4 linked regions of the Danio rerio genome follow. The protein of the gene in region 1 interacts with the protein of each later gene in a pairwise test. Links are inferred from orthologs where the notes say so. Each region holds a gene or a part of one and is shown on either strand. Other genes may lie near its edges. The genes, in order: usp20, trim23, bend7 and vapb.

Evidence for each region.
Region 2: the proteins of usp20 (region 1) and trim23 interact in binary tests that used the Homo sapiens proteins (3 or more experiments, as listed by UniProt). The link is inferred for Danio rerio from reciprocal best matches to the Homo sapiens genes USP20 and TRIM23.
Region 3: the proteins of usp20 (region 1) and bend7 interact in binary tests that used the Homo sapiens proteins (3 or more experiments, as listed by UniProt). The two-hybrid records come from large-scale screens. The link is inferred for Danio rerio from reciprocal best matches to the Homo sapiens genes USP20 and BEND7.
Region 4: the proteins of usp20 (region 1) and vapb interact in binary tests that used the Homo sapiens proteins (3 or more experiments, as listed by UniProt). The two-hybrid records come from large-scale screens. The link is inferred for Danio rerio from reciprocal best matches to the Homo sapiens genes USP20 and VAPB.

What each region holds. Positions count from the first base shown.
Region 1 is NC_133180.1:33,938,057-33,945,806, forward strand, and holds part of usp20 (ubiquitin carboxyl-terminal hydrolase 20), read left to right. Parts: intron 1-1,986; coding exon 1,987-2,068; intron 2,069-2,338; coding exon 2,339-2,447; intron 2,448-5,391; coding exon 5,392-5,494; intron 5,495-7,750.
Region 2 is NC_133185.1:12,493,673-12,502,015, forward strand, and holds the start of trim23 (E3 ubiquitin-protein ligase TRIM23), read right to left. Parts: upstream 5,368-8,343; 5' UTR 5,344-5,367; coding exon of another isoform or gene 5,257-5,343; intron 4,294-5,256; coding exon of another isoform or gene 4,131-4,293; intron 4,036-4,130; coding exon of another isoform or gene 3,914-4,035; intron 226-3,913; coding exon of another isoform or gene 210-225; coding exon 96-209; coding exon of another isoform or gene 25-95; coding exon 1-24.
Region 3 is NC_133193.1:9,570,499-9,578,248, reverse strand, and holds part of bend7 (BEN domain-containing protein 7), read left to right. Parts: exon of another isoform or gene 1-334; coding exon of another isoform or gene 335-389; intron 390-573; exon of another isoform or gene 574-576; coding exon of another isoform or gene 577-606; exon of another isoform or gene 607-638; intron 639-1,683; coding exon 1,684-1,758; intron 1,759-1,828; coding exon 1,829-2,104; intron 2,105-4,781; coding exon 4,782-4,913; intron 4,914-5,180; coding exon 5,181-5,464; intron 5,465-7,750.
Region 4 is NC_133181.1:52,213,474-52,221,952, forward strand, and holds the start of vapb (vesicle-associated membrane protein-associated protein B/C), read left to right. Parts: upstream 1-3,989; 5' UTR 3,990-4,246; coding exon 4,247-4,304; intron 4,305-8,479. UniProt on the Homo sapiens protein: Endoplasmic reticulum (ER)-anchored protein that mediates the formation of contact sites between the ER and endosomes via interaction with FFAT motif-containing proteins such as STARD3 or WDR44.

The sequences.
Region 1 (7,750 bases):
GCCAATTTATCTAGGATTTCTGAAGGTTTTTTGCTTCTCTAGAGCTTCATGTGATGACTCAGATGCAAACTATTAATTGCATTAAGCCACTTAATCTAATTATTAACTTATAATTGTTGTATGAGAGACAACTTCACAAATTATAACTAACAAATTATTATTTGAAACTAACAAATCAGATGTTTTTATCTCACTTTACCCACTTTAATAGTGTATTTGCCTTTAAAAATGTAATGTGATGTGTATTTATATAGCGCATGTATCGTGTATGGCCATACACCCAAAGCACTTCACAATCAGGAGGGGAGTCTTTCCACAACACCACCACCAGTGTGCAGCATCCACAATACAACTGTGGATGGGGATGATTGTGAGGCCATAATGATTAAGGGCCAAGAGGGTATTTGGCCAGGACACCAAGGTTACACCCTTACTCTTTACAAGAAGTGCCATGGGATTTTAATGACCACAGAGAATCAGGACCTCGGTTTATCATCTTATCTGAAAGACAGCGCCCACTGACAGTATAGTGTCCCCTTCACTTTTACTGAGGCATTAGGACTCAAAGGTTGGCCTCACTAACACCACTTCCAACAGCAACCTAGTTTTCCCATGTGGTCTCCCATCCAGGTACTGACCAGGCTCAGCCCTGCTTAGCTTCAGTGAGTAAATGGTCTTGGGCTGCAGGGTGATATGGCTGTGGCATATTTGCATATTAACATATTTCCCAAATTAAACACGCACTCACAGACAGGCAAACAAAGCGATTTTTACAGATTTTTTGGCATTCAAAAGGGTTCCTTGTGCTTCATATGATTACAGTTAAACCACTGAAGTCACATGAAATGTTGTGATGTGGAAGTTATGACAAAGGGCCCTATCACACCAGGCACAATAAGGTGCAAGACCTGTTTGGCGCAATTTGCTGCTATTTTAATTTAGTAAATTAATTTGCGCCACTTTGTGGACTTGTATGTGTACTTGTCTAGAAAGGAGGTGTGTTAAGGTGCATTGTTTGCACGTTGCTTTTTTGAGGAACTAAAATAGACTGTGCCAACTGAAAGCTGCTCTAAAGTCCAGCGCAGAGCACCTTAAGCACGTTGCCTACACATTGCTTAATACACACAGAATGTACAGCAATATGCAAATATCTTAGCAAATGAAAAAGAATTAAAGGATTAAAATTGCTACAAAAATTATTATTTTCTACATCAATATAAAAACCACTGCCTCAATGCCTTCTTCATCTCAGGGGGCTTTTTCAGTTTATTCAGGACAATTTGCTTTTGTATAATGTTATTATTAGTATAAGTATTATTGATTATATGCATGTTTAAATTTCTTTTAATAAAAACAAGCTCAGATTTGTTTTTTGACCACACTTACTATCCTTTTATTCATTTCTTTTATTCATTTGTAGAAATTAGAACTGATTTTAGAAATAGTTTTAAAACAAATCCTGGCTCTTAACAAATGAAATTTAAATATGTAGGCTAATGTATGTCTTCAGTGGAGTCCTTACAACACCCTTTTGTTATCCACGAAAGTAAAGGAGTAAAGTAAAGAGTAGAATTAAAGTAAAGAGGGTGAATCAAGGAGGTGTTCAGTTTTTCCACTTACAAAGTCTGCCATGTAAATAGCAAGTGGGCCATGGTGTGACACAACTGAAGGGGAGGGCTAGACTCTGATTGGTTTAATGCACGTTGTGCTCAAAACACACCCATAACTCATTAAGAGAATAAGCATAAACCTGTTAGCCTATGCACCGTGGCGCATACCCCTTTTTTCGTTCTTAAAATAGCAAAGGTGGATTTGGACTTAATACTTTTGCACCATGCGATTTAAACTTTGAGCCTAGATGGTTTAAATAGAGCTGAAACAGTTTGTTCATAGTTTGCACATATATGTATGCATATATATTATTATTATTATTTTTTTTCACTTGCTGTAGCAGTGGAAACTAAAATGATATATTAATTTCTACAGGAATTCCTCCTACGAAGTACCATTATGTGGATGATCTGGTTGTGATCCTTCCTCAAAATGTGTGGGAATATCTCTACAACAGGTGAGTCATACATAGCAATGCACAAAATTGACCTTTTGGACGTCCTCAACATTTATTACCTTCTAGAACATGGGATGATACTTAAACATTTGATCTTGTCAAGTCAACAAAACCAATGCTGAACTAAAAAAAATGTGAATGGTTTTCTGCCTGATGTCATGTGCGAGGAACTCCTCTTGCCGTGCAATATAAACAATGTTGAGTTATGTGTTTGCTCTTTTCACTGGCCATACTTGTGTAATTCCTCATGTTTTGAAATATTTTTCACAGGTTTGGAGGTGGCCCGGCTGTGAATCACTTATATGTGTGTGCAATTTGCCAAGTGGAGATCGAGACCTTAGCCAAACGACGGAAACTGGAGATAGACACCTTCATTAAGGTGAACAAATGACCATTACAGAATTACAGAACTCCTGTCTGTGAGTGTGATGTTTAAAATAGGAAGTGGCATTCATGAACAGCCAAATGCCTCAGACTTTAACATGTCGCCTTGTTTTTGAGCATCAAAATTATATTGTGAGAACACACTACATGGGTTTAACTGCTGTCTTGGCCTAAAGGATGATTTATACTTTTGCCTGGGTCTGCAGCGAGACCTTCCATTGACTGCCGTGAGTTTTGCCTCGAGGCTTTCATGCTTGATGCTATTGCCATTGTACTATTTTTTAATAACAACAGGGGAGGGACTTGGAATAACTGCCCTGACGACAGTGGCGAAAAAATAGTCAGGGATTGGAGTTGTTAAATGAATTAATTGTATATAAAATGAAATTGTTTTCAGTAACTTAAATAAAATTATTAGTAAATTAGTAACTTGTGCTGCATTTTATACATCCAAGCTAACTGCTTAATTAATGCAAAACCTTTGCACAATAAATATAAAAATAATTTACTTAAAAAATCTTGGGCAACCTGTGCACAAAATACATGCATTGTTTCTCTTTAAAGCTTCAAAAGAAGTTGTTTTGGATTTCTAAATATTCGCATATTCACACAAGTTGGCCAGACTCAGCTATAAGTGGTTCATCTTTGAATGTGGAGCCGTGTGCGAAGTTACGAAAAATGTTGCACATACCAAGTGCCAAAATGATGTTGTGCGCACTCAAAGTCAACTTCAGCCAACACTGTGATGGTGTCACATTGCACCCAATCGATGCCATGTGCACCCAATCGAATTTGCGGACACATCGTATATAAACCAGCATTTAGTCCTGCATAAAATTTACTTTTAGTATTAATCATATTTATTGAACCTTTTTCCTGTTTTTGTTTGATCAAGTTTTATTCAACGATATCTCAAATTAGTTGTTAGTAAACAAAAACTAGTCACTTTTTTTAGTTCTACATAATAGAATTGCTTTACTCAAAATAATGATTGTGACAATTGTTATTTCAACTTGTTTTATTTATAATTTCAGCCAATTATAACGCTTTCACCTTTGAGCAAAAATTAAGAGAATGCCAATTTTTTCAAAAACAGTACAGTCAATATCCATTTTCTATTAGGGCATACGCACACTATCTACAGTTGCCTTTAATCGGGCCGAAGCACGTTTGTCCCTCCTCCCGTCTCCCCTGACGGCCCGCACTCACATTAAATTCGGGCCTGGGCACGCTTGCATCATCGATGATGCGCTGTTCAGAAGTGCTCTTGCTCAGCACAGTGGAGATTTCTTAAGTTATATTGTTTTAGTTGTTTGGGATGCAGTGAAACACAGTCAAATATTTTGCCGAACAGATCCGCCACTTTTGACGCTCATAAATAATCATGAAGTCCTCGTGCTGCAGGAATTAGGAGGTTTGCTGAAAGTGCAGCTGTGGTGCAGTGAGGGGTTTGCGTCTTTAATAAACTCCGACAGTTTGCATTCATTGAAGAGTAAGAATGATTAATAAACACATCTCATGTCTCGTCTTCAGTTTCGGGCTCGGGCGCACTTTACACTCACACTACAAGCCATATTCTACTAGCTGCCATATTGCAGAGATTAAAGGATAAGCTTACCCTTTTAATTCTCACCCTCACGTTGTTCTATAGTCCTTTGTTCAATTTCAGAACACAAATTAAGACATTTTATATGAAATCCGAGAGCCTCATCCTTCATATATAGCAATGGTTTTGAGATGTTCAGAAAAGGAACCCAAAACATAGGGAAAGCAGTCTATGCGACGTCAAGGGTTAAACTGTAATCATACAAAGCTCCAAGAACAGTTCTGTACACCAAAAAATACTGTAAATACAACTTTGTTCACCTATATTTTCTCTTACATGTCAGGTCAGGGTGCACATTCATTGCAATATGATGCTTGAATGTCACACTGCTGACAATAGCCTTAGTAATGCCTGTAGTAAGTGCCCTGACCTGATGCAGGAGAGAAGATACAGGCGAACAAAGTTGTTTTAACATTTTTATTTGGTATTTGAAATAAATAAAGTGTTCTTGGAGCTTCATATGATTACAGTCTAACCATTAAAGTCAAAAAGAATGTTTTGAAAATGTTTTTGGTTCCTATTCTTAACATCTATTCTTCCATCTGCTGTCTATGGAAGGTTAGAGAGGTCAAGGCTTTCATCTAAAATATCTTCATTCGTCTCCGGTAATTACCATAAAAGTAGGGTGCAACTAATGATAGAATTTATATTTTTGAATGAACTAATCCTTTAAGTTAAACACCCTATCCTTTGATGAAAAAAGCTAATTTGAGGGGATTTAAACCCAATGCATCTGGCATCAGCATTTAGTCTTCTCTCTTTGACAAAACAAAGGAACGTTTATTTTAAGAAACATTCATTTTAGCCTTGTCTTTTTTGTCAACAATATTAAATTCCCATTTAATAATAATGATTTAACCGTGAAAAAAATATATCGATACATATTTTTCACCATATAATCAGTTGAACAAAATGAACAGCACTTCTAAGTTATTTACTCAGATCCACAGCATTTTTAAATAACCAACTGGAAACCTCACTTGGCAGGAGCATAATGTTCTTGGAAGTGTCTGCTGCTTGTAAAGCCAGAGAACTGATGAAACACAGACTGCATACTTTACTGATCAGGAGTGTGATCTGCACTGGAATCTTATCAGGGTGCAGTATCTGATAGGTGCATCACTAACATTAAAAACACACGGTGTAAAGCTCTGAAGATATGTGAAGATCCTGTTTGTAGTTCAACATGTTTGAAAGCGACATATAAACATGAAATACAGCATTTAACTGTAGTAAATATAACACAGTAAAGTACTAATGCTCAGAGTGTTTAAAGGAGTTTAAAGTTGATAATGATTATCTCCCTCTTTCTGTTTTCTCTCTCCATCTATAGTTAAATAAGGAGTTTCAGGCTGAAGAAGCTCCTACCGTCATCCTTTGTATAAGCATGCAGTGGTTCAGAGAATGGGAGAACTTTGTCAAGGGCAAAGACAATGGTACACACTCATGCAAACTCGTATACTGTAGTAACATGCATGTTAACAAACATGGATTGCTACTCATTTATGTTATTCGAGATAATATGCAGCAAAATTAAGAAAGCCAGGTCTTTGGTGTTTAGTTCACTGTTCTGAGGGAGGATTTTAAATGTTTGTTTATATTGTTAAATCATTTGGACTTTATAGTATATTTATAGTATGACAGTTTATCATACTATAAACATTTATAGTGTGATAGTTTGTAGTATTATAGTTTAATATATGAACAAATGTCAGTATGTAATCATTATCTGTAATCAAAAACATTATCATGTCTTACTCCTTACAATGCCACAACTTTTTCTGACAACATGTAAACCAGTATGATGGGTGAGAAATATGGTTCTCCAATGACTGATTGAATTTCAGTGCTCTCTTCTAACTTTTCTCTCATGAGTCCATCACAGCAAGTAGCAAATGACAACAACCCAGTCTATTCCTGAATTACTAAATTAAACCTTACTTTAATTCGTTTGCATGATGGATGCATTTATAATACACAAGAAAAAGAGAGTTTCATGCTGCATTTAAAGGCATAGTTTAGTTATATGTTATAATCCTGTCATCCTTTACTAATTCTTATTTATTTGGTTTTGGTCTCTATTGGTATTTATTATATGGATAAAAAAGTTTAATTTTTAAAAATGTATTTTTTGCTGTTTTGAAGTTAAATGGAGTGAATGTGAGTATAGGATACAATTTAGATTTATAGTGCCACTATTATACTGTTTTAAAGGGTCCTATTTGTGTTTTAGACTCCTAAAATAGGTTTATATAAGAGAGGCTCATTTCTGTTCTTTTTTCCAACCGACAACCGCTGCTCTTTAACCGAATATTAACCGTTAACTGGTCAGATTAATATTAAATTATTATTTAACAAAAAAAATAAATAATAATAATTGACGTGTCTATTTTGTGTCTGACACATTAAATATTGCATTTTAAAATACTGATTTATTTTAACGTGCAAACATATTAACCACAGGACATATTAACAACAGAACATCTTCACACACCTGCAGTGTTTCCAACAGCAGAAAAAAACAAACCAAATAAAATAAAAAAATTAGGCCTGCCCTAGATATTTTTCACATAAATTACAAATTAAGATTACAAAACGAAAACACTGACTAAATCCTTTTTAAGAACCAGCATAGGTTATTTCTTTCCCATTATGTTTTTTTTCTTCCATCAAATACAAATAGCAGGCAACCTCAAATCGATCACTCAACGGAAAATATGCATTTAAATAATGCTCCCCTGTTATAATTATATCACAAACCTCTGTCAACTTTTTAAATAGAAGTCATTACTTTAAAGATTATGTCTTGAGCGTCTATTTTTTTCCTCTCACTCGCTGCATGTGAAGACAGACAATGACAAGGCTCAAATGTGGACTTTTAGTAAAGTATAGGCTACTATAGCATATAGCAATTTTGTTGTTTACTTATGTTATTACATTAATTGCATACATATTTTATAAGCTATAAAATGAAAGCCTCAATTTTGTGCGGAGTTATCATTATGCACAAATCAAGAAAATATTCGGATTTGTTTGATTCATAGATTATGTAAGCTATAGATTATGTAATATAAAAAATGATATTTTATAAGCAATGTTAAAAACTGCAATTTTCCAAGAGGAAAAAAGGTTTGTTTGTTGGTTGTACACTAAATCCTCACAACTATAGCCTATTTGCTTTGTTTATGAGCAGGCTGGAGCGCGCTCTTATGGAGAGAAAATCTAGATGCTCCAACTTGTGGACAGCTTGTTTCCAAAGCAGCGTACATTTCATAAAGTTTTGTTTTGCGGCTTTTTGCTCCAATTGTGTAAATGAACATAGATGTTTATGAGGCGGATCCAGGACAGAGGCAATCAGCATCAGCACGGATTTGGCATCAACTCGTCTGTGTCAAACTGTGACCAGCAATATTCTTCTTTCATTTTGCTTCATTGGCAAAATAAAATGTCTGTAGGCACTTGTGGTTGCACGTGTTACAGTACCGCCAGTTAACAAATATGTGTTTCACATTTATACAGCCAATAAAAAAAAAAAATAAAAAAAAAAAATATTTTTAATCGCTTAGCTGATACCAGTAATTGGTTAAAAACGCACCTTTTCGGATAATGGTAAATCAGTTATTATGAGCATCCCTAGTTTAAATTGGAAAAAAAAAGTACATTATTAAAAAGTAATAAAATACATTTAAAAA
Region 2 (8,343 bases), on another chromosome or scaffold:
AGGCTGACAGCCGTCCTCCAGGCAGACAAACTCAATGGCATGCACCTGGTGCTGCGGGCAGAGCATCTTCTCATGGGGTTTGTCTGCCAGTGGCACACGCCGGTGCTTTGCCAGTGTTCGGGTGGAGTGGGTGAGCTGGGAACACTCGGCACACAGATGCGTAGCACAAACCGTGCAGTACATGGAGGCAGTGTGAGTCTCATCCTCATCACAGCGGATTATGCACTAATTGAGACATGGGGGAAAAAAACACCCTTGTAAATTACAATGAAAGTACAACCAAAAAAAAGTTGGGTTTTTAGATATATAGTTATTTTTTCATAATTGTAAAAGTTCTATCCTGGAGTACCCTTTACTTTCAATATAATTAAGTACAACATTAACTTCATCATGAAAGCATCTCATTAGCCCCTTTCACACAGTGATACCGGAAAATATCCGGAAAATTTACGGAACGACTTTACCGGTATGTTCAAAAAAGTGCTGTTCACACAGGCGAGGACGTTACGGAAATTTTCCGGAAAAGAGCATTCACACATCCATTCCAAAATACCGGTAAATTCTGACATCATTCACCACAAATGAGCTTTAAACGGCTGCGCTTGTATTTGTAAACATTTGACTAAATTACAAACTCTTTTGATGATCAATATTGTAAACAACTTTCACAGGATCATATTCGCATGTCGAGATGTTCATAATATGTGCGTGTGCTGCCGCTCACAGGCTGTTTCATGGGCACACGCAAAGCTTGAAGGTAAACAAACAACGGCTTATCATAAGCATCTTATCGATGATTATTTGCACAGTTGGCATTAAGGAGAACATATAAACGTTATCTGACTAACTTCTAGCAGCTAAATGCGTCTGGAAAAATATTCAAAGGCTTTTATTCTCACAAACCGCGCGGACGTAAATGCGTCTGACTGTTGTGATTGGCTAAAGCAGAAGTCTTACGTCAGCACGTTCTAGACGTGCACGCGCTTATTCCGGAAATATTCCTTCTGCGTTCACACAGCGCAGCATTCCGGCAAATTGCCGGTAATGTTACAACTTCTCTTTCCGGAAAATAGCCAGAACGAATTTACCGGTATTTTCAAAAAGGACCTGTTCACACATACAACCTTTCCGGAAAATTGCCGGTAATTTTCCGGAAAGGTCTGTATGTGTGAAAGGGGCTATTGTGTGAGTATACGACAGTGTCGTATGTTGAATTAATGGATATATTGTTACTGGATTTTTTAAAAACACAAGTTGCATTTATTGCTTCAACTTATAGTATAAAGTGCAATTAACAAAGCATACCAAACACACAGTACATACATACTTAGATTTTTTATTTATTTATTTTTTCTCAACAAATGTACTTTTTGGGACATCTTACAGTCACGAATGACTTCAGAGTCAGGTGTGTTCACACTTATTTGCTTCACTTTTTTTTCTCTTTTCTTGATGCATTTCATTTCTTTTAGTCCAAACCAAAAAAAGAATAAACATTTTGTCCCAATTCCGTTTAACATTCACTCTTATTAATAAGACAATTTAAATAAATATAACAAGCTAAAATTTGGGCTCAAACCAGAAATTTCACTTACACTAGGATATGTCCACAGAGAAATGATTTACTACTAACGACAACTTCAAGTTTACAAGCGACTGTGTCCTTTGTATACATTACTATTCATCAAGTAGGAAATGTTATTATTGCAAACTATGCATGGGCCAGTATAAAAATATCACAAATAAACATTTTCACAGTTTTACGGTATTACACCTCAAGGTGTAATTACACCTCTAAAATATGTTCCTTTCAAATGTCTGGGTAAAAAACTAAATCTTTTTTCCCTTTGAACACAATATATTTTATTTTGAGAGACTTTATATATTTTGAAATAGGGATGTTTAAAATTTTCGATTAACCACTTACCGAAATGGTGTGTTTGTAATAGATTAATGGTATCGGTTAAACGATTAAAAAATATTATTTTATATATTTTTAAAGTTTGGCTGCATAAGGGGCCAATCACAATGAACGCGCTTTTTGTGTTGAGAAGGACATTTTTTAAAGGGTTTATTAACTGTTTTGCATGCTGCTTATGTTGTGTGCTCGCAGTTGAAATAAAAGTCAACCCTGAACGGAGGTGCCTCCAGTGTTTGTGTTGTCAGGATGACAGATAACTAATGATGGAGGAGAGACTTGTGGCTGCAGTTTCAAGTTATCTAGAGGTGTAGGCAGATTACTTTACAAATTATGTTATTCCATATATTAAAATGATAACAACATAAGACAGCAACACTCGCGCACAATAGACCAGCTGATTCAGTCGCTTCCTATAGTGACATAAAAAAAAAAAGCACTGCGCTTCTTTTTTTTTGTCAACATAAAGGCAGTGCAGTGCGCCTTGCATTTTTGGATCGGAAAAGCGCGTTTGCTGTGATTGGCACCTGATGTGCAACAAATATTTGTTACCTTGCGGAATGATAACACATGCAACCACTCGTGTCTAGACATATTTTGTCAAAAAAACAACATGAAAGAAGAATATTTCTAGTCAAAGTTTGACACAAACAAGTTGACACAAACCAGTGCTAATGCTGTTTGCAAGTGAAATAGGGAACTAAGTAATTTTGACAATCTTTAAACTAATGACTTTTATTAAAATGGTCAAAAGGGTTTTGTGACATAATATACAACGAAGCATTAATTAAATGCATATTTTCAGTGGAGCATTCGATTTAATAGTCTGATATTTTTGTTTGACGGAAGAAAAAAACATTGGAAAAAACAGCCTATGCCAGTTTTTAAAAAGGATACAATCAGTGTTTTCGTTTTGTAATCTAAATTTGTCATTTAGGTGAAAGATATCTATGGCAGGCTTGTTTATTTGTTTATTTAGTTTATTCTTTTTTTTTTCTATGCTGTTAGAAACAATGCAGGTGCGTGAAGTTGCTCTTTTATGTTTTGTATGCTGCTGTTTGCATGATAAAATAAATCAGTATTTTAAATATATTTAATGGGCTCACAAAAAGGACGCCTCAATAAATTTTATTATTAAATAATATTTTCTGCTATCTTCATTAGTTTCAAAAACAAAGATTTCTTGTGGTAACTTGAAAAGGCATGTTTGTAGATATTTTCTGCTGGAGATACTATTGTTTTAAAAACAAAATGTAAAAAACAAAACGTACATATACAGTAGGAACAGTAGAGCAGAAAATTTTGTCAGTCTTAAAACTTTTGAGTTTTCTAAACTACGGTAGAGATCTGCGTGGAACTGAATTTTTAGTCCCACTCCCTCCAGTTTTTAATTCCGCTCCTGACCGCTCGCGCTGTATATTTAGCCTTTGATGCTGCGAAGCCCACCCCATTTCCCGGTTGGAAAGCGATCAGTAAGTGAATAGCAGGGGTGAGGGGGTATAAGAGATCAATAATTGAAAGACGGCAGGCCAGAGTCACAGTGGTAGGTAGATTGACTGTCAGGTCACCAGGAAATGTCCCGGTGCTCCCTATGACCAGTCCGCCTCTGCTTATGCATAAGAGAGAAGAGCGGCTATTTATACCAAAGCACAGTGGTGGAAAAAAGTCAAAATATGGCAAATGCACTTAAAACACATTTTTTGCCTTGTTTGTGCTTGTGCAGCTACAGAAAAGCATAAAACAATGCCATTTTTAAAATAAACTTATGATTAAAAACCACATAGTGTAAGGAGGAACAAGTTGGACAAAGAGGATTCTATCCCCATAATCACTGCCAAGATTTTGTTTTTAAACTCATTTAGAGATCCATTTAGGACAGATGGTATGGAATCTGAAATGCAGCACATTAGATCATGTTTATACTTCATTTTTTGTTTGTAGCTATATTGCTAATATAAAAAAAAACTGTAAATTTGAAAAATGTACACTTCTAACCTCTCCCATCTCACGAAGCGCATCCTCCGACATGCCTGACTGATTGGTTGCCCCATTCTGTAGCCGTTCAAGCAGTTCTAGCAAGGCAAAGTTCTTCTTCAGGCCCCACACACCTGAGTCTCCTGGAGAGCAAAACAAGAATATGATTCTTCCCAGTATGGAAATTTTTAAATATTGAGTTACATTGTTATTATAGTGAACAGAAAGGCAAACTCACCCAGCTCAGTGACCTGTCTATCAAAGGGGCAGCGTACTGCCCTGCCGTGGAGAGGCAGTCGTGTCAAGCAGTCGTGACACACCGTGTGTCCACACAGCAGCAGTCGTGGTACCTTATCACCTTGTAGTGAAAACACATCCTCACACACACCACACTCCAACACCTTTAAGTCAACAAAAAAAACATGTATTTCTTACAGGAAATGTTGCAGATTATTATTTGTGTAGACATTTCTGAGTGAATTTTATTTTAATAAAAAGACAGGCCTTTAACTTACATGATGTCCACAAATAGAAAATAACAAACAACCAATCCTTCAATTAGTTTGAGACTGACAAAATCAAGTCCCATCCCACATTTTTAACATGCTGAATCACTAGTATATGCACATAACAATAATGAAGAATATCATCACATCCTTCATTTTAAATTATTAACTTCTCATTCAAAAAGCCAATTAAGCTTTTGTTAATTACAATTTATTTGTTATTTGAAAAAATATTTCAGCAAAAACAAAGAATAAAATTAAATTCTAAAACGTTTATATTATATATTATAATATATAATAACAATTGTTATATTATACAAAACGCATACGTACGTTCATAAAAGCTAACATTTAATTTAATATCGAAAGAATGTTATAATAAACTTGGGGGAACTAGCATGACGTATGTCATTAATTCTGCAACATTTAGACCTATTGCCTTATGTTCAGCCATAACTTATAACTACATCTCCTAATTGCTTTCTAGTTGACGTTAAATGATAAAAGTGTTGAAGATATGAAGCTCACACTCTTTCTATGGACCAGTTGATCATTTAGCCAAGCCGGCTAACCCATTCTGCACAACTCATTTAATAACGGCAGAGTTATCAATACAACACATTTTTTCATACTTACGACTTGTTTTTTACAGTGTCGGGCGTTTTAAAAATAGGTGTGTGACATCTTATTTAATGTAAGAAACGCTGTGACAGTTTTGAATGATGCTATCATTAGCCTGCTAACGCCCTGCAGAATCTCACTGAACTCCACCTAGACAGGTTAAAAATAACGTCTCTTACGTGATCGTTGTTAGCTAAACATCTAGTATAGTTGTTATTTATTTAATATGCATCATACCTTCACCGCATTAGCGGCAGTTCCTCGGCCGTGTCTCACACACGATTCCATCGACGCCTGTTTATTTACACCGACAGCAGCGGCCATCCTCGGACTGAACCATCTAATGACACTTTAGTGTGAACATGGCATAGTAATTTAGCTCTATTTTAGGCTGTCATGTGGTAATAAAAATTACTTTAAAATTATATTTTTAAGCTGTATCGCGAATGTTTGTATTATGTCTCAATTAAATTATACCAATCGTGTAACTCTGTCACCCATGTATAACAGTGGATCAGTCTGTCAGCTGTTTCCTGTGCGAGTACGCGCTCATCAAATGTTACAGCCCGAAATAAATACATATGAAAATTAGGGTTAATTTACCAAATATTGCTTAACTGACTCGTATGAAGTTAAAACGTTGTATAGTGTTGTCTTAAAGTGAAAATAAACATGTTTCAAAACATTGCATTTTTGTTATTTTTTTATTATTTAAAATGTGTCTAAATGACAAAAAATACACATTAAACTTGGAGGAAACATCAACAGCTTTAGAAAGTTGAAAAATCAATATTTGGTGGAATAACACCAATTTTCAGTCAACAAAATTTGAGAACATCTGACCAACTGTAATTTTCTGGGGACTATTTAGGCCTGTAGCCAGCCTGGTAAAAGGGGTGGTTCTTTTTTTCTCAAAAAGTGGACCTTTTTGCACTTATACGCCTCAGTTTTCTATTTAACTACGAGATTTAAATACTGCATTTTAGTGATATGTTGATGGATTAATATGGAATCAGATAAGTCTCAAAAGAAATTCACGCAAAAGACATGATGTACACATGCGTAGCCAAATTCACGTGCATAAAACCAAATTCACTTGCGTAAAATATTTATTTATATTCACAAAAAAAATTCACGTGCACAAAATAAAAATGCATTTTCATAAAATACGTTTCACAAATGCAAAACACAATTTGCAAATGTATAAGAGTGTACAAAAAGTTTTGAATGTTTAAAACTTGCGAGTTCATCCTGAATGAGAATGTGCAAATCCTCTTTCACGTACGACTCCCCCTGGATACTTGTGTGTGTATTTTTGAGACTGTCCTGCCAGAGGCAGGGCAACTCGTACCTTTCAGCCAATCAGACGAGAGCTGTAGTCGATGACACCCACTCTGCGCTCCATTTGCGCAGACTGTTCCTCTCTCATGAGGGATTTATCACTTAAACTCTTTTTGTCTAAAACTGAAAGTTTATCACAATCGGTGTATCTTGCTAAAGTATTGGATGTACCAAAATCCGTTATTTAAAAAAAATTATTTAGGGATGTTTAATTTTATATGGAAAAACAAACCTCATTATTTAAATAGAAATATTTTATGTAATTCATATAATCAAGGAGGTTTGAATTTGCTTGATTTTGATACTTCCAATACATTTTTTTAAGTTGAATTGGATTAAACATTATATCAAGCACAAAAATGAAATATGGTGTATAATCCCAAACCTTATTTTTGAAAAACTTGGTGGTTTAGGGTTTCTTTTGAAGTGTGACTTTGAGATTAATAAACTTCCCATTCAGTTATCTAATTTTCATAGGCAGGCTCTTTTATGTTGGATACCTCTATACAAACACAATTTTTCTCCCCATAAACAAATGATAAGGAATAATAAAACTGTCAGATATAAAAACAAATCAATCTTCTTTGATAATTGGGTTAAAAAAAAAGATATTCTATTGGTCTCATAGTTATTGTGAATGATAAAGGATATTTACTGACTTATACAAAATTTTTAGAGAAGTTTATTTTTCCAGTGCCCCCACGAGATTATTGTATTGTAATTGATGCAATACCAGCAGGCCTGGTAAGGCTTTTGCAGGGTTACAGTGAACTAGATAAGCTAACAATTAAAAATGAGATTTTATTAGATGGTGTTGATGTCAAAGATAGAAAATGTAATAATACATTTCTAAGAAGTTTCATTCATTGTCCTGCAATTTTTAGACACAAGTACTTTTGGAATTACCAATTTGAGAATATTAATTGGAATTTGATTTGGACCTATAACAATAAGTATTGTGTTACTAATAAAGTCAGTGAAATATACTTTAAAATTATACATAAAATATATTCAACTAACCAGTTTCTCAAGAGGTATAAAGTTGATCTTTCAGAATCGTGTGTTTTTTTTGTGAAATGGAGGTTGAGACTATGATGCATTTGTTTTTTGATTGTATGTATGTTAAATATTTCTGGTTTGATGTTGAAAGTCTATTTAATATACTGAGGGGTCATAGAATTATTATTAAGAAAAGCGATGTCATATTTCTACAGATAAAAAAGATTTAGATAAGAATCTCCTGTTTATGTTTAATCTGTTGATATTATTGGGCAAGTTTCATATACACAAATGTAAATGAACGGAGAGAAAGCCTAACATCTTTCATTTCAAGGCTGATTAAAAAATTTATTTTGAGACTCTTAAAGGACTTTAAAATCGTAAAACAACCAGGACTGTGAATATACTTCAACAGCTAAACTCCTCTTCTCTATGGTAATGCCTACTCCTGTTTTTTATTTGTTTTATTTTTCTTTCTTTCCTTCCTTTTGCTTTTTTGATTTTTGTCACACATGTTATGCTAAAATATGTAATAATGTAAGAATTATTAAGCATTTGACTGGAAATGTTTTGAAAATACAAAAAAAATATATATATAATGTTTCTCTCCAGCATGGCGAGCGGAGAAAGCAGCAGTCGCAGTCACACTTTTTTATTCATTTATTTATTTATTTGACCATAGCCTCAGTCTTTTTATCCATTATTTTGCCGCAGTTTCACTCTTCTTATTTATTGTCTCGCAGCCCCATGAGCAAAATGTAGCCTGCAGGGTACTGGTGAGGATTAAGTATCATTCCAGCCACACAATCACAGCAGCGTCATTGGACATTGTGGTCCAGCGGTAAGTACGTTACGTTACGATGCCCTTAGATCCATGTTCTATCTTTACCTGAATAAATATAAATATATATTTTTTTCATTTTTATTGTTAAGACATATAAAACTATAAGGTTGTTGAACATTTGAAGTTCTAAAGCAGCGATA
Region 3 (7,750 bases), on another chromosome or scaffold:
TATTATTTATGTTTTCTATTAAATTACTCAATAAATTGTATTTTTAATGCCCAACCCAACCGCCACATGAATTTTTGTTATACAGCGTCATAAAAAAAAATGCTGCTATATTGATGTGCATATCGCACTTCCGGCCGGCCGTGTACCTGATCTAAACTTTACCGGGCAGGAAGAGGTGGGGTGGGGTGCGTGCAAGGAAGGGGATCGCTAAAATGCCAGATCAGATTTCAGAGGTGCCGAATCCAGCTCCAGCTTGTTCCTGCACAAATTTAACCCTGGATAGAGACAGTGCAGTGGATGGGGATGATTGGGAGGCCATGATGGGTAAGGGCCAATGGAGAGAACTTTGCCAGAACACCGGGGTTACGCGACCATATCGACCATCGAGAGTCAGTACTTCAGTTTTTTTTACATTTTATCCAAAAGACAGCCCTAACTGACAAGTATAGTGTCCCCTTTACTATGTTGGGGCATTAATACAGGGGCACAGACCACAGGTTGAGCGCTCCCTGCTGGCCTGTGGCCTGTGACTAACACTACTTCCGACCACAATAATATATCTCCTTCCAACAGCAGCTCAATTTTCTCATCTGGCCTCCCATCCAGGTACTGACCAGGCTCAGCCCTGCTTAGCTTCGGTAAGTAACTGGTCTTGGGCTGCAGGGTGATATGGCTGTGGCTAAGGCAGTTGCTAGGGGGTTCTAGGTGGTTGCTAGGCAGTTGCTAGTTATGAAGACTGAAAACTGTATATGCGTCTATAAAAATGAATTATTGATTTAAATTTCATATATATTGTGCATGCACAGTCAGCTGCAAAATGGTAATGCAAAAATGCATACAAATAACGGCACCTTTAGAAAGCAAAAGTAAAACCTGAATCCTGGACATTTTAGGAGATTCAGAAACTACGGTCGGATGCATTTTGGCGGAAAAGGCTGCAGAGCACGTAAGAGTTCCTGTGTGAGTGACAGATCGCATACACACAGAACCAGCAGTAGGAAACGTGCAGAGCTAAAGAACATTTTCCACTGGTTAATCAATCGCGAATGTTTAGTTTTCTTGGACGGATACAAAAAAGGATGACAATAATAGTATAATTCATGTGTCACCACCAAATACACCTGGGCGACCCGCCCAAGTAAAGTCTATGTGTGGGAAGCACTGGTGTGATATGACCTATATTTTACAGTATATGGGGATGACAGGGTACTGATGTGGTCTTTCTCTCAGAGATGGCTGTCAAACTGACACTGAGTCAGGCTTCTGGGTCGGATGAAATTACGCAAATTACGCGAAATGACACAATTGAAACAGCAGTATATTTTATTGAAAAATTGCAGCTCACAGAATCATCTCGCTAAATTTGCCTTTATGGCCGCATTAAATTTGTTTGCAGGTCTGATCCGGCCGCGGCCTGTACGTTTGACAACCCTGATTTAGTATGTCTTTCTGATAACCTTTAACAGAATATTTTACATCTTTATGGAAATTTATCAAATATATATTTTTGCAGTCACTTCTGATCACATCACTTTAAACATATATTTGTAATATTTTATTGTATTGACATGATATTGAACTGACATTGTATAGACAGACAGACAGACAGATAGATTAATGTTATATATGTTTAATGTACAATGTTATATAACTTATATTGATGTCAAACTGTGATTGGTTCAGATTTTAGCCATGAAATGGATGACGTGGATCAGAATGACACTGAAGCAGAACCTCTGGATGCAGCAGAGAGTGAAGGTAGCTGTAATTCACCATAATGTACTTGTTCATGTTTATATAGGCTCTGTATATTAACTGTGTCTCTCAGTCTGGTTAGGTGATGAAGGGATGGAGATAAAGAAACAAATAACCGGTATGATGCGCTTGCTGAGTGATAAGACGGGACGCGTGTACCAGCGAGTGGGACGAGAGGGAGAGACCCTCAAGCAGGAGCCCCAAGAGGAGAACCTCAGCCAGCCTGTGATACACAGCGCGACCCCTGAACATCTGCAGTACAACTGGAGCTCAGTCATGCCTCTCTCTCAAAGCCAGTACAGCACTCGATCCAAAACACAGAGGATGCTCAACCACTGCAAAACTAATGGTGAGTCTTAGAGACCAGAGGTGTGTCCAGACCTGTCCATTCCCAATTCAACACATGCAAATTGTTATTAGAGACTTTCAGAAAGATTTGCTGTAGCTGGTTGCTGTTAAATTCTCACTTTGGTCTTCCAGGACCAGGACCGGACACAGTAATAATGATAGCTCATAAATAATCCCTATTGTAGTTTAAGCATTTAGTATCATCATTTAGGAACTTATGAATATAATTATTTTATTTTTATGTACAGTTGAAGTCAGAATTATTAGCCCCCCTGAATTATTAACCCCGTTTATTTTTTACCCCATTTCTGTTTAACAGAGAGAAGATTTTTTCAACAAATTTCTACAAATAATAGATTTCGTAACTCATTTCGAATAACTGATTTATTTTGTCTTTGCCATGATGACAGTAAATCATATTTTACTAGAATTTTTCCAAGACACTTCTATACAGCTTAAAGAGACATTTAAAGGCTTAACTAGGCCGGTTAGGGTAATTAGGCAAGTTATTGTATAACGATGGTTTGTTCTGTAGACTATCAAAAAAAAAGTTAGCTTAAAGGGGCTAATAATTTTGTACTTAAAATGTATTTTAAAAAATTAAGAACTACTTTTATTCTAGCTGAAATAAAACAAAAAAGACTTTTTCCAGAAGAAAAAATATTATCAGACATACTGTGACATTTCCTTGCTCTGTTAAACATCATTTGGGAAATATTAAAAAAAAAAAAAAAAGAATTCAAAGAGGGGCTAATAATTATGACTTAAACTGTATATAATTTTTTATTATGTCATTTGTCACTATAATAGCTCATAAATCCTCACTTCCGTAGTTTAAGCATTTTGTAACTTATTATTATAATTCATTATTTTTTAATATGGCATTTATGGCATTTTGCTGATTTCATTTATTTACATATTTTGTAATTTAATTTCAGACTATTTTGTTGTTTTGGTGTTTATTTGTTTGTTTCTTTGATTATATTTATTTTTTAGTTTAGTTATTTTCAGTGTTTGTAATGTTCTCTGCCGTTTGTCAAGTTTATATTCTTAATATAAACTTGACAAATAACTACAATACAGAAAGAGTAAATATACTTTTTTAAGACAAGTTGTTAGGATTTTAGATGATAAGCAATCCACAAAAGGTTCAAGTACAAGGTCTATCATTAATTAAGTAATATACTAATGAAATAATAATTTATTCAATATTATAAATTATTCTAGAATTTTTTCTGGTCTATACATATTTAAAAATATGAAGTCTTATTTTAGTATTTATATTTGTAAGCCTTCTGTTCTTCAGACAAGTATTTTAATTACATTTGTATACATATTTAAATACATTCATTCATTCATTCATTTTTCTTTGGTCTAGTCCCTTTATTATCCCACTATGCTACATTGATGATTATTATTATTATTATAATGCATTATGTGGTATTATATCATTAATTCATGTTTAATTTTTTATATTGTTTTTAGTTATTTAATTAATTAGTGTGTATTATGTGTTTTTCTGTTTTTTTCTGTTGTTTATTTAATTTAAGTCTTTTTTTAGTCATTTTCAGTTGTAGTAATGTTTGCACTTCTACGAAAACTAAACCAAAATTGCAAATGTTGCCTTGGCAAATAACTAAAACCCTGAAAGAGTCCATTTTCAACCTAAATATTGCAATTTTTGGTTTATTACTCTATATTATTAAGTAATATAATAATGACAGAATGATTTATAAATTAGATAATATAAATGATTTATTATAGAATTTATTTGTGTTTATTCATGTTTAAAAATATGAACTCTTAATTTAGTAGTTTTATTTGTATGCCTTCTTTCATATATTGTATTTGGGTGTATTCTAAGTGGGTAGCAAGAAGGTTGCTGGTTCAAACGCCAACTGGAACAGTTGGCAGTTCTTTGTGGAGTTTGCATGTTTCCCCGTGTTAGTGTGGGTATCCTCCAGGTGCTCCGGTTTCCCCTACAAGTCCAAAGACATGCGCTTTAAGTGAATTGAATAAAACAAATTGTCTGTAGTGTATGTGTGTAATGCAAACGTGTATGTATGGGTGTTTCCCAGTGTTGGGTTGCGATTGGAAGGGCATCCGCTGCGTAAAACATATGCTGAAAAAGTTGGCGGTTCATTACGCTGTGGCGACCCCTGATTAATAAAGCATCTAAGCCAAAAAGAAAATGAATGAAAATAATGATATTTTAAATTTTACATTTTAAAAATTCTAAATATATATATATAGTTAATATTTAGAGTTTCTTTAAATGTTTTTCATCATTTAATTTTGTTGTGTGTTTTTTTTCTTTCAACTATTGGTACTCCAACTTAAACTACATAGAAATGACTGATTTATTTATTTTATCTCATGATTTTTAAGTCTTGCCTCTGCTAAAAACAGTAAGACATTACTTGAACCTTGCATTTTGTGACCACAGGCTGCAGGAAGATGCACTGTCTGACACATGTCTAGACAGCTCTGGATAACACAGCAAATGCGTAATGTCCTCCTTCAGTACACAATAAAAGACACAAAACCTCCCTCACAGTTAGCCTGAGCCACATACATACACACACACACACACACACACACACACCGGAGTCAGACGTGCTTGGAGCCGCCGGGTGTCAGACATCGCCACTGATGCTGCATATGTGTTTGTGATTCAGACATGGCCTTGCCCCCCGCGCCTGCTGCCATGGCAACAGAGCCCAGCTGCTGTATGTGCAACTGCAAGAGCACCCTGAAGGCCATTCTGCTGGAGCTGCGCACCATGAGGAAACTACTCCAAACTCACAGAGGTAAAACACACTCAATCATGTGCTCTCAGACTGACCCTTCAGGATCTTGCAGATTAAAGCAAATGTCACAAGATTTTGACCAGCCTTAAATGCATTATCCCAGTAGGATCATCAACGACATCAAAAAACAGGTTAAAAACCTTGCTGTCTATTTGGCATCCACACATTGATGCTCGTTTGACCACCAAAAAATGACACAAAGATTATCATAACAAGAATGTGAGTGAAAAATGACCCGTGGTATTCTATGCTGTGCTGTGCTCTCAGGGCTGCAGGACAAACAGGGCTCTCACGTCTCGCTTTCCTCGTCTCGAACCTCCATCTCCAGGAGGAGGAGCCGAAAGAGGAGGCTGGGTCACAGAGTGGCTCTTCTGGTCACGCCCACAAAGAGAGCCACGCCCCCCTCCCCTTCTGCGGATGCTGTGAATGAGTGTGATCAGTCCAGAGAGGACACGCCCTCCACTGTGGCTACATTTACACCAGACCACTTTCCCACTGTAAAGAAAACTTCCCCTCACTACAGCGTCAGCGGAGGACAAAACAACACTGAGGTGAATCTGAATGTGTGAAAACCACAGAGAGCACTTGAAAATTCTCTTGAAACAATTCTCTTGATTTGCGATTTATGGTTGTGTGTGTGTGTGTGTGTGTTTGGGCAAAATGTCATTTTAGTTAATTCCTAATTTTAATGATTATTTTTGTTTAAAGTAACAAGGTGCTGTTACAGCGACTCTTAAGCTTCAAAGAAAAAGGAGGACCAGACGCAACCATCAAGGGCAAAAAATAACATTTATTTTAACATAACCATGACATAAATAATATAAGGTAAATGAAAAAGAAGAGTCAGGGCCCAAAGGGATGGCCAGCGCGGCTTAACCAAGCTCCATGCCAAGGCGATCGCTCAGAATTCCTCACTTGACTCCATGGAGAGCACACCAAGCGCTTTTTAAATCCATGTCACAACAAGCGGCACCTGTGTACCAGTTCCTCATCTCCAACCTATAACTGAAAACACACGCGCTCACCGCTGAAAGACTGGGACACCACACACACAGCCAATAGACTGAAATGCCACACACACTCATAGTCCATAGGCTGGGACTTCACAGTGCTGTGTTTGCACACTTGAAAAAGTACAGTACGTTTAGCTAGTGTGAACATGTCTTCTGAACTCGGGTGTGCACCCGTGAACCATACTCGAGTCCGCCTGAAAGGGTTGTCTGGGGTACGGTTCATGCGAACTCAGGTACAGTTCACTTCTGATGTGAATACAATCGTACCAAATAACAGAAGTGAACCGCCAACTGTACAACAAACTATAATTTTTATAATATTTGTTCGTGTGTGTTGTGTGTTTGTGTGTGTCACGTTTCGTACCTTGGATTCAAGCGGGACTGAGTTAGGGCAAACACAGCCAACTGTACAACAAACTATCGTTTTTATAACGTTCATTAGTGTGTGTGTGTGTGTGTGTGTGTGTGTTGGTGTGCGTGCGTGTGTGTGTCTGTTTGTGTGTGTCACATATCGTACCTTGGTGACAAGCGGGACTGAGCCAGGGCAAACACTGTATTCATTTTTGTTTGTCTCCTCCAAAAACAGCTCCTGCAGACACTGTGTGATGTTTTGAATGTGTATAATATTTGTGTGCGAGACGCTTTCTGCATGTCCAGAACCAAAAGGTTCAGTAAAAGCAAAATGACCGCAATGTGTGGACATCTTTCCATTTCGGCGCTTGCTTTCGTGACCGTCACCTAGCAACAGCTCTAAACAAAACAGCAGCTCGATGACTCAAGCGTACCGGGGTTCAGAAGGAAAAAAAACAGTGTGAACACAAACCAATCGAGAAGGTGGCAAGGGCGGACAATCGAACTTGGGTATGGTCCAGGGAAATGAACCAAGTGTGAAAGCACCCTTAATTATGGTGGCTTGAGAAAGCCAGCACATTGTTATACTACATGAACTTCTTCTGCTTCTGAGACTAATTTCTATATGCATCTCCTAGACTGTTCATACTACAACCTACCAAGCTAACTCCAAACCTCCAAACTGGTCTGATTCTGGTTGCTCTATTTTTTCCAACTGATCAGAATTCCGGTTTTCCGAAAACTTACCCGGAAAATTTGGAAAAGTCAGATTGACTTAACATTGGACCAAACTTTATGACCTCATAACTAGGGCTGCACAATTAATCAAAAAAAGATGACGATCTTGATTCGACCCTACACACGATCTTAATACAGCTTCTCTACGATTCAGCCAATTATATTTTCAAGGTCAGGAGCTTAAAAGCGGTCGCACAAGTCTTCACAGGATCATAAACAACGTCAAGTGGCATTAAAAGTGTCACATACTGTATTAAAAGGTATAATTCACCCAGAAATGTCACTTCTGTCTTCATGTAATGATGTATTTGCAGCCGCAAAATCACACGTGAGCTGACCGCCAGCTGTTTGTTTACTACTGAGAATGTGCCACGTGCACGCAGCATGCCAATGACGGCTTCTTTAGTAAACAGAAATTGCATAGGCTGTGAATAACAAGTAAGAAAGTTGTAAATAACGTTTAGTTTGTTGCACAGAGCAATCGTTTGAGAGCTGCGCTGAAAGAATGGTTTGCATGTATGTGTGTTTTTTATCACAGTGACGGCAGCCATGAGCCATGATATGTTTTTTCTTTCATAGCTATCACAAAGTGTTGTGCATGAAAATAAAGGTTTTACAGTGTCAGTATAGCTACTCTAGCTTAAATAATGTTGAATATAATGCAAGAAGAAATCTGATTATGACAAATGTCTGATTTTACCAGTGAAAACAAATGGTCTAATAATGCTGTCAATG
Region 4 (8,479 bases), on another chromosome or scaffold:
TTATTTACAGTGCATGTGTAAATTTACATTCTTCTTGGCAACTAAAATTGTAAGTACAGTAAATGTTACAGTAAATTGTAATTACTATTTTAGTGCATTTAGAAATTTACAGTTTTACTGGCAAATAAAATTGCCATTAATTTACTGTGAATTTTTACAGTAAATTGTAATTACTAATTTACAGAGTGCTTGTAAATTTACAGTCGTACGGTAAGTTACTGTAAATTTTACTGTATTTTATTTACAGTTGAACTTTTATTCTCTATTGGCATTAACACAGAGAAAACCCTTCAAACGTATTCTTTCAATGGCTTTTGTGAAAAACTAATTTATCTTTCTCTCAAACAAAGGTTTTCTTTCCATCATGTCAAGCTGATCACAAAAGGAAACATCTCTCATTTATTAATCTCACTGAAGGGCCTTTACGATGCATTGAAATGGTAAAAATATTTTGCCTTGTGCAAAACCTGTGGTTCACTTATCCAGTTGCTTATTGGGGAACACAGGCTTTGCATTAATGTCTTTGAATGGATCTACATGCTACACTTGAATGGGATTCTTCGATGTGCTGTCTGGTGTAGTTTGCATTGGTCGTTTAGGTTGAAAAGCAGTGCCAACAGTCTTGGGCTGGCCCTAAGAAAGTTGTGAATTACATCCTTGTAGATAATACCACACATTGGATGAACTGTGTAAATAAACAGAGATGCAGTCAGGCAATTGTTATATACTTTACCACAGCTTGCCAATGTAATTCAGCATACACAGACGTAAATTAACCAATGTTTTTTTGTCATTTATCTATGTGTCTCTATTATTTTGTCTTGCGGAGAAGGCTTGGAATTAACATGTTTTTTGTTCGTTTGTGAATGTGCAAAAGGGAATTGTTCGGCTCTTTATTAATAATAAAATGATATGAAATTTAAAATGCACTGATTATTTTTTGTATTGGTTTAAATTCAATCGGAGAAAAGTGCAAATGTCTGCCTTGAGTTCAGAGGGATTGTGGATGTGTTCTGCGCTGGCTGCTGGGCTATATATATAAATATGACACTTGTGGTATGTGTCTCCTTTGGCAGGGGGTCTGTGCTGATCTTTTAATTGTGCTGAGGAAAGTAAAACGAGCGGCCCTTTAAGAACTGCCAGTCCGAGCATAAATTAACTCTGCTAATTCTGCAATTAACAATGCGATCTAGAAACTTGGCTGGGGAAAACCTAATTCATGTTAATTCTTAGATTCCTTTGGATTTTTGCACTGCTTTTGAGGAACAAACTCTATTAAATAATATATCAGCAATAGCAGTTTAATGCTATTAAAGAACATTTTTGTTTCCTTCATAAACCTTTTCTTTAAATAGCAGAGAACCTTGAAATAGACAGATGATAAATGTTCTTGTATGGCAATAAAGATCCTTTGTTTTTAAGAGTGCAACATCATTATGCAACCTTTACAATTTGATTTGCCATTTTTTTATTTGAATCTGAAAAACATTCTAATATCTACATAAAAAGTCAAAATCTTTAGAGAAGTACGACTATATTTCAGTAGTATATGAATAACTTGATGTTTGATAAATGTAAGCATTTTGGTTACTTTTTTAACTTTAATTATGTCTTTTTATAAAAACATTTAATTGCATTTATTGTGGTGTATCTTTAAAATGCATGCATAACCACACATACTCACCGGCCACTTTATTAGGTACACCTTACTAGTAATCCTTCGTGGCATAGATTCAACAAGGCACTGGAAATATTCCTGAGATTTTGGTCCATATTGACATGATAGCATCACACAGTTGCTGCAGATTTGTTGGCTGCACATCCATGATGTGAATCTCCCATTCCACCACATCCCAAAGATGCTCTATTGGATTGAGATCTGGTGACTGTGGAGGCTATTTACGTACAGTGAACTCATTGACATGTTCAAGAAACCAGTCTGAGATGATTCACGCTTTATGACATGGCGTGTTATCCTGCTGGAAGTAGCCATCAGAAGATGGGGACACTGTGGTCATAAAAAGAGATGGACATGGTCAGCAACAATAATCAGGTAGGATGTGGTGTTTACACGATGCTCAGTTGGTACTAATGGGTCTAAAGTGTGGCAAGAAAATATCCCCCACACCATCACACCACCACCAGCCTGAGACATTGATACAAGGCAGGATGAATCCATGATTTCATGTTGATGATGGCAAATTCTGACCCTACCATCAGAATGTCGCAGCAGAAATCGAGAGTCATCAGAGCAGACAGCATTTCTCCAATCTTCTATTGTCCAGTTTTGCTGAGCCTGTGTGAATTGTAGCCTCAGTTTCATGTTCTTAGCTGACAGGTTTGGCACCTGATGTGGTCTTCTGCTGCTGTAGCCTATTTGCCTCAAGGTTGGAGAGATGCTCTTCTGCATACCTCGGTTGTAACGAGTGCTTATTTGAGTTACTGTTGCCTTTCTATCAGCTGGGACCAGTCTGGCCATTCTCCTCTGACCTCTGGCATCAACAAGGCATTTGTGCCCACAGAACTGCCGCTCACTGAATATTATCTCTTTTTTAGACTATTCTCTGTAAACCCTAGAGATGGTTGTGCATGAAAATCACCTTTCTTCCCCATTCTCATGCAGTTTCTCAGGTCATGTCTACATGCCTAAATGCATTGAGTTGCTGCGATGTGATTGGCTGATTTAAATTGGCATTAACGAGCAGTTAAACAGGTGTACCTAATAAAGCGGCCATTGAGTGTATACTAGCATACATTATTAAAAATATTTTATTTCAAAGTTTCAGCTACATTTTTAACATTTTGAAAGGTGAAAAAAAATAATTATGACACAATAATAGCATGTTTCTAAAATATATTCAGAAATATCCCAAATATATTTGTGTGAATAATGCTTTTGTTCATTGAGACTAATAGAGAAATACAGGTGTTTTAGTGAGATGTATTTACAATACAGTAATAAAACTCTTGTATAATTATGTTTAGGCGACACAGTGGCTCAGTGGTTTGCACTGTTGAGAAGGCTGCTTGTTCGTGTCCTGGCTGGGCCAGTTGGGATTTCTGTGTGAAGTTTGCATGTTCTCCCTATGTTGGCATGGGTTTTCTCCAGGTGCTCTGGTTTCCCCTCACAGTCCAAAGACATGCGCTCTCAGTAAATTGAATGAACTAAATCGGCCATAGTGCAGCTGGAAGAGCATCCACTGTGTAAAACATATGCTGGATAAGTTGGCGAAGTTCATTCCACTGTGGCGAGCCCTGATGAATAAAGGGACTAAGCCAAAGGAAAATGAACGAATGAATGAAAGAACTATTTTCAATTATTAAACATGCAAAGCAGTACAACTTTCTTTAGAGGTCATCACATGTTGCAAAGTTACCATAACATGCAGTGTAAAAAGATGATCAAAAGTCACGACAGCATTTTTTAAATGTTATATTAACATAATTAATCAGTCTTTTTTAGTTACCTATTTTAATATAATTTTAATTCATTAATATTTTTTGTTTCAAAGCAGCTTTACATTCAAAATCAGAAAAGTTAGGTTATTAGTTACCATAACTTTATTAGTTACTAATAATTTAAAATAATCATTCATTCATTTTCTTTCGGCTTAGTCTCTATTTTAGAGGTTGCCACAGCATAATGAACCGCCAACTATTCCAGCATATGTTTTATGCAGCGGATGCCCTTCCAGCTGCACTACGGCTAATTTAGTTTAACACTGAATTATTATATAATTAAGGTATTATATGTAAACATAGTTAACCTGCAGTTATATAGTATATAGGTGATATTGTTTGAACACAATCAGTCTTTAAGTATTTAAGCTAACTTAATATTGAGTTTTACGAATTTGAATGAATCATTTTAATTGATTCATAGTTAAATTACCTGTAAAGTTTATAAGATTTACACATTTACAGTATATTTTACAGTGTTGAAGATGCACAGATGACCCATTAAGATCAGCACCTCCACCCTTCACATCAGTCGCCACTACTGAGTGCATACTGCAGGGGCAGGGAGTGACGTCACGGCCAGCCTCCCTCTCTCTCTCCAACAGTCCCTTCCTGCTGCATCACAACAGTCGCTGGCGGATCGGGTAACACTGAGCTATTTCCACTGCCGCGTGGAGTTTTTTATTTCGATAAATGTAACAGAAGTCCTCATCGACTACAGCCTCCGCCGTCAAAGCCCGTCGCCCCCGTCAGTCCGAGCGGTCAGTCCGAGCGTTTGCAGTGGGAGATGGCCAGGCCAGAGCAGGTCCTGCTGCTGGAACCGCAGCACGAGCTCAGGTTCCGAGGTGAGTCCAGAAAGCCCCACACTGACGAGGACTTGCGGATAAAACGCCCTGGATGAAGAGGGAGGGTCAGCGGGTGTGTTTTTTTAGTGGTTGGGGGCTGAAGGAGGCGGCGAGATGGCGTTTCTGGCAGGCCTCGGTGCTTGGAGTAATCATAATAATATTATGGCGCAGCGGTGTGTTTCTCAATCGGTTTATTATTCAAACTCCGCTAAAATGACACCTAATGTGACACGATAAGGTGTTCGCTTTGTGGTTTGTTGTATAGACTGACAAGTGTGTTAGCTTGAGCTAGCTTGATTTAGGCCTTGACATACAGGCTCTGCTGGTGGGCTGGTTAATTCGGTTAGTGTGAAGCGGTTCAACCGGTGTTGCCATGTCCGCATGTAAAATGTCGCTAATCAGATGTGCTCACTATTTGCTTATTTACATAATACAATAGCGAAATGCGTGTTTATCCTACGTGTAGTGTGTGTGCATGTCATGATATATCTCTGTCATCATTGTGAGATGATTTCTCCATTTGAATGACCGCTGTGAGCGAGCTGTCAAAGGCAATTGCTAATCTTTTCCCTTATGCAGACGCTTGCAGGATAGAGTTGTTATTGTAAATATTGCAATAATGAAAATCTGGGTTGATGTGTTTCGGTTTCTTTTGGTGAAGCAATTGGTTATTATTATGTTTTAACTTCTTTTGTCAGAATAGCTAGCATGTAGAGAAATCTGGCAACACTGACAACCTACCTTTGACGCTGCTTCCAGTCAGGAAGTTATTAGCGTTAGTCTGAAGACACCTTTGTTATTATTCCACTTCAAAGTTCAGCATGACGTGGACATGTTGATACTAATGTCATAAACAAAGCTATTCTGGTGTTTTGGATAAAACATTGGTCTTTGGTCGACATTTAAAATTAAATCATTTTCCATTTACATATTTGTTTTTTTTTACAGGATTTCTAGGTTAATGTCATTTAGACTATCATTACATTACTATCACTAAACAGACTAATGCTAGTTTCACTTGTACACTTCATGCCCATGTCAATCAGCTGATCCATAAGACTCACAAAATAAGAATGACTTTCCAAGCTTTTAAATCGCCATATCATTGGCTACATTCCTCATCATTTCTGGGATACTTGTATTTGTCTTGTTCTTTTATAAACAAAAGCCTTTGTGGCATGATCCCCTCATAGAAGAAAGCCATAATTTTTAAAATGTCAATAGTATGTGTAGTTCTAAGTTTAGCAGAAGACTGACAAGGACATTAGCTTCAGCTAGTCTGTTTAGGCCTTGACACACCGCTCTATTGGTGGGTTGGTTAATTTGGTTATGAACTGAAGCAGTTCAACCAATGTTGCCATGCCCTTGATGTTGCATTTGTGTTTTGCTGTCACTTACAAAATGTGCTGTTGAGGGTTTTTTATGACACTGTGTAGCAACATTTTGTTTATCCCACATGCATGTCTTAATAGTTTTCTTTGTCATTATGTGACATTTACTTCTCTCTTTGATCCACTCTGAACATTTCTCCTCATGGTCAGATAATTACAAGATGTATTTCCTGCCATAAGCAGGAATAAACAACTTGAATGCTTGTTTGTGTGATGTATTTTGTTTATTTCTGGCTTAATTGTACAGAAGATGTTTAATATTTTTATGGAGAAATCTGGCCGCCTACCTTGATGCTGTTCCCAGTCAGGAAGACATCAAACACCTGTATTATTATCTAACTTCAAAGTTCATACGACTTTATAGATAATAATGTCATAGTTATGTTGGTGTTTGAAATAAGAATCTTTTAATCCAATGAGAATTCGCATATTTGACATTTCAAGGAACACATTCTTTTGGAAGCAAAGCCGTTGTGAGCCAAACCAGCTTGAAAACATGTTGTTTTTCATAAGAATTAACCTTACACTAGCTCGTGAAGTTCACAATCACAGCATAGACCCTTAACAATGATTTATTGACTGCATGCTGGTCTATTTATTGTACTAATGTCACCTTACCACTAAATATGATACTGCTTTACACTACCTGACAAAAGTAGCTTGTCACCTATCAAAGTTTTAGGAACAACAAATAATAACTTGACTTCTAGTTGATTATTTGGCATCCGAAGTGGCTTATATGAAGGGCAAAGGCCTCTAGATTACTCTTAATTTATTTTATTATTTATTTATTTATTACCAAAATAAAATATGATCATGCCTTAATTTTTAATTATTTCATTAGGACAGTAAGGTCTGACTTTGCTTAGACAAAAGTCTTGTCACTTAACATAAATAATGTACAGTATAGAATATAAAGTCATGGTGCAGTGGAAACAGAAGGAATATTTTGCATAACTCCCATGATCTTGGACAACTGCATCCATACATCTCTGCAATGACTCAAATAACTTAATAATAAAGTCATCTGGAATGGCCAAGAAAGCGTTTTTGCAGGACTCCCAGAGTTCATCAAGATTCTTTGGATTCATCTTCAATGCCTCCTCCTTCATCTTACCCTAGACATGCTCAATAAAGTTCATGTCTGGTGACTGGGCTGGCCAATCCTGGAGCACCTTAACCTTCCTTGCTTTCAGGAACTTGTGGAAGCTGAAGTATGAGCAGGAGTGGTGTCCTGCTGAAGAATTTGCCCTTTCCTGTGGTTTGTAATGTAACGGGCAGCACAAATGTCTTGATACCTCAGGCTGTTGATGTTGCCATCCACTCTGTAGATCTCTCGCACGCCCCCATACTGAATGTAACCCCAAACCATGATTTTTCCGTCACCAAACTTGACTGATATCTATGAAAATATTGGGTCCATGAGGGCTTCTGCAGTATTTATGATTTATGATGTATGAAATGTAGTTCAACAGATGATTCATCAGAAAAGTCTACCTCCTGCCTCTTTTCAAGTTATTATTTGTTGCTCTTACAGCTGTGCTCGACGTCTAGGCTTTTGTCAGGCAGTTTACATGTGTTGTGTTTACATGCTCTGTTCCCGATCATAACTCTCTAGAATCACATGATTCATAAAAGCCTGACTAAAATATGCCAGCTGTAATCCACTTCAGACCCTAGTATTGAAGTGTATCATATATATATATATAATTGCTGTGTAAATGCTTTTATTCTACCTTTGTAGGGTAAAAATCTCATTAGTCTGCTTAAACTCTGCACCTGCAGATCTGCTTATTCTAATTTACTTTTTTTCTCCCATTACATTTGAATGTTTGGCATAATGGTCATTCCGTTTCATCGTAACTTTGAAATCCAATGACATAAGTGTCATTACTTTTCACCAGTTTGACCCATTCAGGCTGTTTTATGAGATGATAGTCACGTTTTATAGTATAAGCAGAATAAATACTTTATCAGATTTCACCAGCCATCCCATATTCATGCAAAACTTGAAGTTAGTTTTTCAAAAAATTACAGTTTTGCTATTGTACTCACCCTGATGTAATTCCAATACTGTTTCTCCTTTTTTCTGCGGAAGCTAAAACAATGGTACTTTGAGAAATGCCTCAGTGTTTCTTACGTTTCTTAAATGTCTCATTGTGTCCACACAATGGTAGTCTATGGACTCCAATATTGTTTTGTTCCCACCGTTCATCAAAATATATTCCTTTGTGTTCACAACACGGGGTTTGGAATGATATAAGGGTGAGTAAATGATGACAGGATTTAGAGAAAGCAACATGATGTTTATGCATTTGATAGATGCTTTTATACAAAATTCAAGCTATACATTTTATCAGCTGCTTGTGCTGGGAATGGGCAAAAAAGCCTTTGATATCATCTAAAATTGTATATGCTCAGAAATGAGTATGTTACACACTATTTGATCTCAAATTTCTTTCTAGTATTTCTCATCTCAGGGAAATTATTATTACTTTGAACTCTCTATAAACATACATCTGAAATAAGGAAGTAAAAAATGGTTGTCTGTCAGGATAGAAGCTAGAAAGTGAACAGTTCATTTTCATGCCTAGATTACAATTTAAATGACTCCAATTTTGGCCTTTTTACATGATGCAAAATAAGTCTTTATAAGTCTTCCAGAATGTGTCTGAAGTTTCAGGTCAAAATACCCTTCAGATTATTTAAACCCTGTTGAAAATGTCAAGTTCGGGTCAGAGAAATTTGTAGTTGTTTGTGTCTTTAAGGGTGTACTCACTCTAG